Linked DNA regions of Yarrowia lipolytica. The protein of the gene in region 3 interacts with the protein of the main gene of each other region in a pairwise test. Links are inferred from orthologs where the notes say so. Each region holds a gene or a part of one and is shown on either strand. Other genes may lie near its edges.

Region 1 (3,126 bases), about 1.2 Mb from region 3:
TCGAGCCATGGACGGTGCTTCTGCCATTTGCTACGAAGAGTTTTCTAACGCCATGCTGGTGATCCCCACCACCCTGGCCGAGAATGCCGGTCTCAACCCGGTCAACGTTGTGACCGAGCTGCGAGTTCGACACGAAAAGGGCGAGGTCAACGCCGGCATTTCGGTGAGACGAGGAACGTCCATTATGGTGGAGGAGCATGTCATTCAGCCCGCATTGGTTACCACCTCGGCCATCACTCTGGCCGCCGAGTGTGCCAAGGGTCTGCTCAGAATTGACGATATCGCCTTTTCCAGATAAATATAGAGGGTATTTAGAGTATGGTATGATTGTTATGAGAGAGGACTACGACCGGAGAAATTGGTTCGCGTAGGTACTACTGTAGTTAGCTACGAGCAACATGTCCTTGTAGTCCGTAGACACAAGTAGTATCGTATTTAGTGTGTATTGGTACAGCCACTAACGGTGCAAGTACAGTTTGTACTGTAGTGGTGTGTTCTTATTATATAATGCTATTGGATATATGCTGTTTATTCCTCCTCCTCCAGTGTCTGGCCCTCCTTTTCCAGTCTCCAGATTGGTAGACCAACTGTCTTAGGGCTCTTGATGTAAATAGTTTTGGTTGATCGAGCTCCCCCGTCCACGAGGTTGTCGACGATGTTGTTTGCCACTCGATGCGAGTTCTCCTCGATCTCCTTGGCGGTATTGTCTGGCAGGTATCCGACGAGGGCAGTCAGATTAACAGCGCCCTGCTCGCATGCCATTGATCTGGGGAGAGTCACCGACGTGGATCGAAGCAAACCTCGCACCTGTGCCTTGACGTAGTCCGGATCGGCAAACATGTTTGCGTCTCTTGCATCGTCTTCTTTTCCAGGTTGGATGAATCTGATGGGGAACGGCTTAGTCAGATGTCTCAGAGAAATCTTCTTGGACAGTCTATCATAACACTCCACGACCTCCTCGTGGATTCGGGAGTCGGCGACAATCAGATCGAAGTCCTTTCCGACAGACAAGGGGTCCTTTCGCAATTTAGGTCGAAACTTCTTGACCGAAATGATATCAGCAAATGTGTCTTTGGTGCTAGCTTCGTCAGCCTGGAAGATCTCTGCATATTTGGCGGTAGGGTGTGGCACTATGAGCAGTATTTTCGCCTGGGATATCGACTTGTGGATCTTGTGGTGCAGAGGAATGACATAGGGGACTGAAATGTTGTTCATACCTCGCTGCCCGGGAACTCTGACATTGGTTTTGGATGTTGTGGTGACGGTGAGGTGGACGGGAATTCGCTGGTTGGGGTCCTCGGTTAGCTCCTGTTTGGCGGACTTGAACAGTGCCTTAATGGCTGGCTTTTGCGTGAGTTTCATCTTGTCGCTGGTGGTCTGGATTTTTTTGTCATCTTTCGAAAATATTCGAGACCTGCATGTGAGCTGTATGGGTTAGGGGTTGCTAGGGGTAAACTAGTTGAGCTCCTGTCAACTAACTTTAGTTGGCTTTACTTGTGACAACATTGGTATGGTAGGAAGGTTCGGCATGTTATGATGGCCAAGTTGAGGTCATATAGCAGATGATGGAGGACACGGCAATCGTTGCCACAGACAGAATGTTTCATGGAATCACGGCCTATCCGAGCAAATACGACTACAACTACGAGTACTCGCACACGCACCACACGAACAACGCGACACAGCGAGCACTATACACACACCAATCTTCGCCACCAGTCATGAGTTCCCTCGTCCTGACATCGACCGCCTCCAACTTTGTTTGATTGTGGCGTACAACATATCACGGTAAAATAGAGTATGGAAGCAGCCAAGATGTAGCAAACCTGCTGTCCACGTGAGCCACGGGAGATATAATGGTAGCTGGATAGTGTCTGACACTCTCATCTTCCTATACCACTGTCTGCTTTTCAAGCCCACCGCACACAGAGATACAGTACACGTAAAGCCATACAACATCGCGTATAGGCATAGACCAACGGAGGCTACACACAAGAGCACCCCCAGACACTCCCAACAACAAGGTTTTGAGGGGAGTTACCCGGAAAAGTTTTCATCTACAACACTCCTTCCCATCTGCCCAAGGTCGATATTACCCGGTCTCGTTTCGCGAAACGCGGTTTTTGGACAGATACAGGAAAACGCAAAACAGTGTACGCGACGAGCACCACGTGATACAACGCCAGACGCCGCCAGACCACAACGTGACACTCACATCCACACAGCCACCTACACACAAGATGCCCAAGGAGGGTAAGCCCGCGCAGGAAGGCGCACAGGCGCTGCTGGATCTCCAAGACGAAGGCAAGGATCCTCGCAATGTCAAGGATGACAAAAAGACGAGCGATGGCAACAATACCAAGGACGACGTGGGCGAGGAGACCGTCGAGGGCGCTCTGATGCATCTGGTGCGATTCACTCAGGACGAGGAGAAACGCGAAAAGGAGAAGCCCGGTGTTGGTGTCGGTAACAACGGAGGAGCTCCTGCAGGCCAGCAACAACAGCAGCAGCAACAGCAGCAGCAGCAGTACGAAGACATTGCTCATTATGGGGAATTTCTCAACGACAATTCTGACACGCCATGGAACCAGAACCTGTTTTCGGAGCAGTTTGCCGTCGCAGCTGCCACTGCTGCCGGCGAGGGAGACTTCCAGGAAAAATTCAACAAGGAATTCAGCAAGGAGTTCAACAAGGAGTTCAGCAAGGACGAGTTCAACGAGATGGTGGCTGCTGCCGCTGTCGAGATTGGATCTGGAGGCGCTCCCCAGCCTGGCGCAGGTACAGAATCAGACGCACAGGCTCACGGACGGAAACGAAAACGTCAAAAGACGTCGCTCAACCCCAAACAGGACCTGAACGTGGATCCTGTGCTCGAGGGACTCGGAGAGGCCGTCAAGGGAGGAGACAATCTGCTCCTGATGGACGATTTCCGACGAACAGCAGGAGTTCCAGGTCACCCCCACGACCACCCTGTCACGTCACGCGACTACATCATGCCTCCCGAGTCTATGGTCGCGATGCGAAACACCAGCAACGCTCCCAAGGTTGCAGCCTCGAAACGCCCTAATTGGACAGGTGACGGTTCGGAGTCTGGAGGAGCATTTACTCCCGAGGAGATCGAGAAGC
Region 2 (4,377 bases), about 2.7 Mb from region 3:
TAGAGAAGGAAAGAGCTACTTGTGGGTGAACCGAAATGTCATCAATGGCGAGTATGGGCTGAGCACTACAAGTACTTGTAGAACGAGTAGATGTTTACCTAACACTCGCCCAACTACTGTGTCAAGCAGTAATCCGAGCACCCTAATGAACTCCGAGGATCTGATATTCTCTCTAACTGGCTCCTACTCATACAGTACGTACCTAGTCTCTTGTAAATAGTACATACTGTGCCACAAGTCGGTCTTTAAGGCAGATCTGGTCTCGAATTGCCCCCTCACCGACCTCCGACCTCATCAGTTCCATCTAACAGTTCATTAATATCTATTTAATCCATGCACCATGCCAACCAGTCGATCCACTTCGGGGACCCAAGTATCGCGCTAGACTGGATTGTACAGGTCTCGTACCCTATGTACCGGATACGTGACCTCATGCTAAAACACGTGACCTCACTCGGGCGTAACACGTGACCTCTCATGCCAAATACAACACACCTGTGACCCAAGTCTCCTGCTCGTCTCGTCCATCTAATCAACCCGCTTCTTCTTCTTGGACCAGAAGGCTGCGGGCAGAGGAATGTCGAACGCCGGTCGCTCGACCACCACGAGCTCGTTGCCGTCCACAATCTCCGCGCCGATGATTGGTCTGTATTTGCTGGTCGACCAGAAGGCGGTGGTAGTCTGGTTTTCGGAAGTGACGGGTTTGGCCGTCTCCTCTCCATCCAGACGTCGCTTAGGGACTCGCTCGACCGGAATGTTGGTCGAGGTGTCAACAAACGCCAGCCAGGTGGCTCCCCACATCCACACTCGCTGGGAGTGCTTGGAACTGGGGTCCAGGAACATGCCTGTGCAGTGGTCGACCGAAGAAGCCACGGGGTCGGGAATCTCGGGGTTGGATCGGCTCCACTCGGTCAGCAGACCCGAGCCGAGATCGAACTCCACCACCTTGTTGTCGGCCGTGGCCACCACCAGTGTCTTGGCGCCCGTGAAGGCCATCGCGGTAGCGGGAGCAGCAGACAGACGCATGAGTGTTCGAGCGTGTTTGAAGCCTCGGTCGCCCCGCACAAAAATCTCCGTGTGACCCGATCGCCGCGACAGAGCCAGATGTGTATCTGAAAAGGCAGCAGCGACGATTTCCGTCTCGTGTCCGTGGGCAATGAGGTTGCCCTTGAGCACCGCCTCGGGAACCTGCAGCTCTTCGATAGGTGCGAGCTCCTCGTTAAGCGAAATGAGAATGACGGAATCGGAGGAAATGAGCAGCAGCTCTCCAGCGGGCGAGAAGACGGTCAAGTGGGCTCCCTCCAGATCCATCAACTTGTTGGGTTTCAGAACGGGATGGCCCTTGGAAGAAAGCACCTCCTCGAGCTCGAAAAGTTTGGTCTCCTGAAGAGAAGACACCGCCAGAAGAGAACCAAACATGGCCACGTCAGAAATGTTGTCATCGGCAGACATGGTCAGTTTGCACACCAGTCTTCTCTGGCCGCCCTCAAGGCGTCTCCACAGCTTGACAGTCTGACCGTTCCACATGGCCACAATCGAGCCATAGACGAGAGTCTGGGTTCGCGGGGGAGCCACCGAGAACTTTCGGTAGGGGCCCTGAGCAAACTCGTTAACGGAAGCAACCACAAGCACCTTTTCCACGCCTCCAGATGCAAGAAGAGACAGGTTTTTGGCCTCGTAAGTAGCCAGAGCTCGCACGTCGTGGGCATTGTAGCCCCGCACGTTGGTCTGGTTCCATCGCTTGCCCACAGACTCGTAGCAGGCGATGGTCTTGTCGACACCCGCCGAAAAGACAGCGTCTCCGGCTGCATCGACTGCCAGACAGAGAATGTCGGCTTCGTGGGTCTTGAACGACTGGTTCAGAGCAAAGTGCGTGCAGTCCCAGAACTTGACCGAGCCCGTGGAGTCGCCGGAAACGATCAGATCGCCCTTGGCTCGCTTCACAACCGCCACGGTCCACACCAGAGTAGCGTCGTCCTGTGCCACAGGTCCCTTGGCAGTGTCGACCTTCATGGTGGCAATGGTGGATCCGTCTTCGTCCCAGACCCGGATCCGCGCGTCCGAACAGCCGCCCACCACCTGCGAGCCTCTCCATGCCAAACTGAGCACTCGACAGGTGTGTCTCTGAAGGACTCGCGAATGCTCCATCACACCAGGGCCTCCAGACAGATCCACCACCACCACGGAGCCGTTTTCGCAGCCTGCAGCCAGCTTGGTTCCGTCGTCGCTCACGGCAATGCACCAGATCACACCGCTGTGGCAGTCGTAGTTGACTCTGGGCTGGCCCGTGGACACGTTCCACTCGGTGATAGCGGTCGATCCTCCGATGGAAAACAGCCGCGGCTTGCCAGAAGAGTCGCCCGAGTCAGACCACGCCAGCCCCTCGACAGACCGGCCCTTTCCTCCCCGCAAAGTCGTCTCATGGAGCCAGTTCCATCGGGGGTTCCAAATTTCGATATCTCCATTATCTCGTCCCACAGCCAGTCTCAGGTCCGGCGAGGCGTTCTGGTCCAGCTCGGAGCGTCGGCTGAACGCCAGCGCCGTGATTCCGGCCGGATTGTAGTCCACAAAACGGCATCTATGAACGTCCATTGTGTTGTGTGCTGTTTTTGTGATATGTTGCACTCTCACAATTTTTTGGCTTACCTATATGCATATGCAGATTTTTTTTTATTTAGGCTTTGTCATGTGACTAATGGGTGATAGAAGCACCTACAAGTAGCGGACTATGTAGAGCCTGTATAACAAGAAAGAGGGCTTGAAGAGATTGCTAAAGACTGAAATGCTATGACAGTGGTTTCATTTTTGGTTTTGGCCACGTTTTACGTGTTTTGGAATTATCTCGACGAATAGTGGACGTAATAGAAATCTGAAAGAACCATGATATGGAGCGGAAAAAGACCAACAAGATGCATTTTTCAGAGTTGTTTTATCTAACCAGCAACACCATATTTTGTATAGCAAAGTGTGGTCTGGCGATGTTAAGTGTAGAGTCAATGGTGTTCAGAAGATGACTTGAATGGAGATTGATACTGGGCGTAATAAGTTTGATTTTATAATAATATCGTAAATTGACCGTTGCAACAACTTGCACTCTTGGATTTGTCTATATATATTCTCTAGTCTGTCTTGTAGATGTGTTCTGTTCTGCTTAAAGTAATTCTCAACAAACATTTATACTAAGCCAAGTAACACGTAACAAACTATTATACCAAGTCAAGTAATATGTAACAAACTATTACACCAAGTCAAGTAAAAGAAAACGGGGGTTCCATGCCCCCAAACGGACGAATATCACGTGAAAAAAAAAAAAAACCAAAAAAAACCAATCGTCAAATACATCTATACCACTTTGATAACCCCAAATGTCCTCTTTTCCTCCACTTTTCCACTCTCTGAATCACATGTCCCAAGCTGGAATCGAACCCCGCACAATATACAAAGTTTTCCCCCGGGTGGTTACCGTGGCAACGGCCTTTGTTGACGCGTTCAAACATCCCTTTGTCGCATCACTATACACCTGCCAGTTACATCAAACCACCACTCAGCATGACGACGGCCAAAAAAACACATGTCGGGGTCAAAGCCAACAACCGCAACGAGGCCAAGCTGTACTCGCTACTGGGGCAGTATTTCCAGGAGGCGCAGCGGTCGCTAGTGGCGCAGAGAAAGATCATTGTGTCCATGCAACAACTACACGAGGGAGCAGTTCAGTGGAACATGGAAGAGCAGTTCACGCGCAAGTTTCTGCTGCTGGTGAACCGCATGCTCACGTGCAAGAAGGGCGACAAGTCGGCCGACAAGGTGGTCGAGTTCATCGGCTCGTATGTGGGACGTCTTCAGGAGGAAGAGGAAGACCGGGATGAAGATGAAGATGATGAGGAGGAAGAGAGCACAGTGGCGTCTCGTTTCTGCGAGGCACTCATTCGTCACGTGCTCCGAGGAACCCAGGCCAAAGATAGACATGTGCGGTTCCGATGCTGCCACATTCTGTCTACCGTCATCAACTCTCTTAGTGACATTGACGACGACCTTTTTGAAGACCTGCGAGACTCCATGTTTGCGCGGTCGTACGACAAGGACGCCAGCACACGGCTAAAGGCCGTGTTGGCTCTGTGCCGAATCCAATCTTCTGCTGAGGAAGGAGAGGAGGAGTCCGCGGAGGAGAAACAGCTACAGGAGCTGCTACTGAGCTTGATCCAGAACGATCCCTCGGCCGACGTGCGCCGGGCTATCCTGTTCAACCTCAAGGTGACCAAGAAGACCCTTCCCTATCTTCTTGAACGTGCACGTGATACCAATTCCATCACGCGACGGTCGGTGTATGGACGGACCATGAAGAGCATTGGTGATTTCCGAATGCTGCGGATCGGCATG
Region 3 (3,977 bases):
ACAGAGAAGAAATAACGTCGTCTCCGAGCTGCTGAGTCACGTTGAGAGACTTGAGATGGGGGCAAAATTGGGTCAGCTTGGTGATCACCTTGGACACCTGCTCACACAACTCTCGCGTGGGAACCACAATCAGAGCAGTCTGGATATCCCGTTTCTCTTTCTCAGCTCTCAGCATCAGCTCGAAGATGGGCAGCAAGTAGGCCACCGTCTTGCCACTACCAGTGACGGCCTTGGCTGTGATATCCACGCCCTTGTCCAGAGCCAGAGGAATGGTTGTGTTCTGAATGAGAGTGGGCTGCTTCATGTCGCAGGCAGCCAGGCCGGACAACAGTCTGTCATCAAGGCCGAACGAGTCGAAGGACTTATCCTCCAGGTCGGGGGTAGTCATTTTTGTAAGTGGTGTATGAGTATGAAATGCGTAGGTATACTTTTTGGCAGAATAATTTTAAGGTACATGTCGGGCAAAAATATTTCGATAGATGAGCTTAAGTTAGATAGAGTTTTTAAACGGACTGTGCAACTAATGTTTACTAAATTACTTCGAAATGTAGGTAAAAAGTACTCAGTCGCTCCCCAACTAGACCCAGTATATACACTTACCCTTCTACTCAGATTCTCTTATAAACATCTTCTAATATGCATCTATACTATTAAAGCTTGTAGTGGGCGAGCTGGAACATTCGGACTCTGCCGTTGGTGGCACCTACAGTCAGGTACTCGCAGCTGGGGGAGAAGGCCACGCTGGTGACAACTCCCACAGAAGTATGTTGAGTGGGCCAGTTCTTGAACACGGTGAACGAAGGAACATGGACCAGCTTGAGAGAGTCTCGCTTCTGGTCGGAGGCCATGGCAAGCATCTGTCCGTCGGGAGAGAAGACTAGCGACGAAACGGGGGTGGTTAGGTTAGAGAGAACCGCAGTGGGTTTCTGGGGCACAAAGGGGCTTTGGCCCTTAGCAATCTCCAATGCAAGTTTGGGTCGGTTGTAGACGTTGACGTAGCCGGACTCGGAGCCGATAGCCAGCCACTGGTTAGCCTTGCCGCCGATAGCCAGCACCGTGATGCCAACTCCTCCCTCGTCGGTCCAAGTAGCTGTGAAAGAACGGCTTTCCACGTTGTATTCCCACACCTGTCCAGCGGTGTTGACAGCAATAATGGAGCCACCGTCCCACACAAAGTCGGCAACGTCGCCCTCAATCTTACAGCCGTCGATCCACTGTCCAGAGGTAGCCGACAGAATGGCCAGCCAGCCGTCCACTCCAACTACACAAAGGTACTTTCCGTCTGGTGAGAGCTTGAACTGCGCAAAACATCGCACCTTGTCACCATGGCCGTACAGATGTGCCATTCGCTCCACCTTTCCACTCTCAGCATTCCAGATGTACAGATGCTTCTGCTTTCGGCCACCAGCATACACTCTCTGGCCGTCGGGGTGGAAGGCCACGTGAGCAAAGGGAGTATGTCTCATGAAGAGCGTGGTGACAACAGGGTTGTTCTTGCCATCCACCTGGTATAGTCGCAGAGTCTTGTCGAAACCTCCAGTCAGAAGCAGAGAATGTGTGGGGTGGAAAGCGAGACCCTCCACGGCAGCTCGAGAAGGAGCAGCAAAGTTAACGTCCTGAAGTCGAGCAACCTCTATTTCGCCGTGTCGAAGCAGTTTGGACTCCTTGTTGGAGTACTGGGTGACTCGCTGAAGCACCTCGCTCAGAGAAGTGCCTGTAAGCACGTCCTGCTCCTCCTCATCGGACCCCTCAGAGTCGTCCTCATCGTAGTCCTTCTTGGCCTTGGCCTTGAATGCATTAGCAGCCCAGTCGGGGACCCGGTAGATCTTTCTATACTGTTCTCTCAGCCGTCGCGAAAACACCTTGCCGTTAACGTAGTCCTGGGTCTGCGTCTTTCGCAGCTTCTTGAGCATACCATCGTGATCTCCCACCAGCGAAATGTGCACGTTCTCGTCGTCCGAGTCGGCCCATGCGGCACGTCCTCCGTGCTCTTCTAGAGTCTCATCGAGGGTATCTGAGTCCATGGACGAGTCGGAATCGTCGTCAGAGTCGTCATCAGAGTGGTACTTTTGCCCGTCTCCTCCATCAACAAAGAACAACTGGTTGTCCTCCATCTTGTTAAAATCATTCTCGTCATCCGAATCATGGGAATCGTCGGAATCCTCCTCCTCTGCCTCTTCAAGCGCAATGTTCTTGATACCCATCTCAAAGCCCTCTAGATCTCCAAAGACGGCCTTCTCCAGCTCCAGCTCCTCCTCGTCCTTATCCGGCACCTCGTCATCAGAAGAGTCCACGTCCATGGAGTCCTCCATATGCTCGTCAATGTCCACCATGACTCCTTCGGTGGCGTCCTCTAGCTCTTCCAGTGATTTCATTTTGTTGTGTGTAGTTTCGATATGTGTAGTGGTATTATTTTTTTGAAGTCCCATTTACAATCTGCTTAATGCACCCACCCTGAAAATATTTATTTAAGCTCCAGAGCCTAATAAATTCCTGTATGCAGAGTAGGAAATTTCGTGCACCCAACACCAGACCCAGATAACAACAACATGGCTGATATGGAAGTGAGTACACCGGCTAAATTGACTCGAGATCCACCGCTAACACAGACTACAGCATCGATATCGCGTCATCTGCGACGCAAGGGCGTGCCTCTGGTGCAGATTCTGCCGTTTGCAAACGAAATTGTAGCCGGAAACCTCAACGTCTACTTTCCCCATCGGTTGTGCGCAGTTTTGCAATGGTGGATGGACAAAATAAGCGAGAAGACCGACTCTGCCAAGGAGGCTCGAGCAGACCCGGCATTCTGGACGCTATTCATCACTGTGTGGGAAGACATGGCCAAGGATCTGGCCATGCCAAGAGAACGAATCTACAGAAACAGCAAGTTCACAGAGATCGTCAGTCTAGCCATCAAGGAAAACATTGAGGGCTGCTCCGTTCAGCTGCTGGACGAGATCACCACAGCCGTCAACAAGGTGTCTCGGTCGTTAGCCGTGCAGTTTACAGAGAGTGCCGCTGTCGAAATCGCAGGAGACTACCTCAAGACCCTTACAAACTTTCAGAAGACCGGGCTGCCTGTGGGACACATTGCTGGAGTGTCTTCATGGACTCAAATGATCCTCAACTTTTTGGAGCGGTCTTCTCAGGGAAGTCAGGATATGCAGAAGAAGTGTCGAGAGGTTGGATCGTATCTTCCCTACATTTTCTATCTATTGGACGGGGAGGATCTAAACAAGGACCTGGCACATTTCATCGATTATCTGGTCACCAAATTCCTGTTTGATCCCGAACACTTCCCCATCACTGGTCTGTATGCCTTCACTACTTTTGAGGTGTTGAGCTTCTCCACTGAGGCTCCTGTTCGAGGCTATGCCCACATTATCAGACTGGGAGAAAAGGTGGCTGCTACTATGCCTGGAACCACTGGTGAGAAGGATCTGGTTGTGCCTCTGGTCAGTGGTCTAATCCAGAATGCCAAGCAGTACACTGTGGAGCTGCTGGATCAGTGTACAGAGATGGGCTACAAGGTGGAAAAGAGCATTTTGGTGAGGCTTTTCAACGAGGCTGTGCCTACGAGAGAGGCCTTTGCATTGGATTGGCAGGTGAACAATGAACGAGATTGGCGTCTGATTGCTGCTTTGGTGCGACAAGATCCTTCACTTACAGCTACTTCGGTGTCTTTGGCCAAGGATATCTCTGATGGTCCTGATAACGAGTACACGAAGTCGGTGATGCGAGGTATGGCTACGGGATACCAGCTCAACAGCAACATGTATGACTTCATCATCATCTGGGTGGATGAGATGGCCAAGTCTAGTAAGTGGAGAGACCCTGGTTTCCTGCCCTATGTTTCTGATCTCATTGCTAAAATGTTCCCTGATCAGTACTACGATGTTCTGACTCATTGGACGGGGAAGGTGAAGGAGGAGCAGGGAGATATTGCTGTCAGAAACAACCAGCTTTATGCTCTTGTT

What was found.
Region 1: the proteins of YALI1_F39108g (region 3) and YALI1_F27132g interact in binary tests that used the Saccharomyces cerevisiae proteins (3 or more experiments, as listed by UniProt). The link is inferred for Yarrowia lipolytica from reciprocal best matches to the Saccharomyces cerevisiae genes UTP18 and UTP30.
Region 2: the proteins of YALI1_F39108g (region 3) and YALI1_F12080g interact in binary tests that used the Saccharomyces cerevisiae proteins (3 or more experiments, as listed by UniProt). The link is inferred for Yarrowia lipolytica from reciprocal best matches to the Saccharomyces cerevisiae genes UTP18 and UTP4.

The regions. Positions count from the first base shown.
Region 1 is NC_090775.1:2,711,903-2,715,028, forward strand, and holds YALI1_F27132g (uncharacterized protein), read right to left. Parts: upstream 1,363-3,126; coding exon 529-1,362; downstream 1-528. Other genes in the region: YALI1_F27101g (uncharacterized protein), read left to right, coding at 1-298; YALI1_F27141g (uncharacterized protein), read left to right, coding at 2,241-3,126. UniProt on the Saccharomyces cerevisiae protein: Involved in rRNA-processing and ribosome biosynthesis.
Region 2 is NC_090775.1:1,205,417-1,209,793, forward strand, and holds YALI1_F12080g (uncharacterized protein), read right to left. Parts: upstream 2,593-4,377; coding exon 529-2,592; downstream 1-528. Other genes in the region: YALI1_F12052g (uncharacterized protein), read right to left, coding at 340-479; YALI1_F12089g (uncharacterized protein), read left to right, coding at 3,550-4,377. UniProt on the Saccharomyces cerevisiae protein: Involved in nucleolar processing of pre-18S ribosomal RNA. Required for optimal pre-ribosomal RNA transcription by RNA polymerase I together with a subset of U3 proteins required for transcription (t-UTPs).
Region 3 is NC_090775.1:3,909,252-3,913,228, reverse strand, and holds YALI1_F39108g (uncharacterized protein), read right to left. Parts: upstream 2,430-3,977; coding exon 651-2,429; downstream 1-650. Other genes in the region: YALI1_F39128g (uncharacterized protein), read right to left, coding at 1-388; YALI1_F39106g (uncharacterized protein), read left to right, coding at 2,550-3,977. UniProt on the Saccharomyces cerevisiae protein: Involved in nucleolar processing of pre-18S ribosomal RNA and ribosome assembly.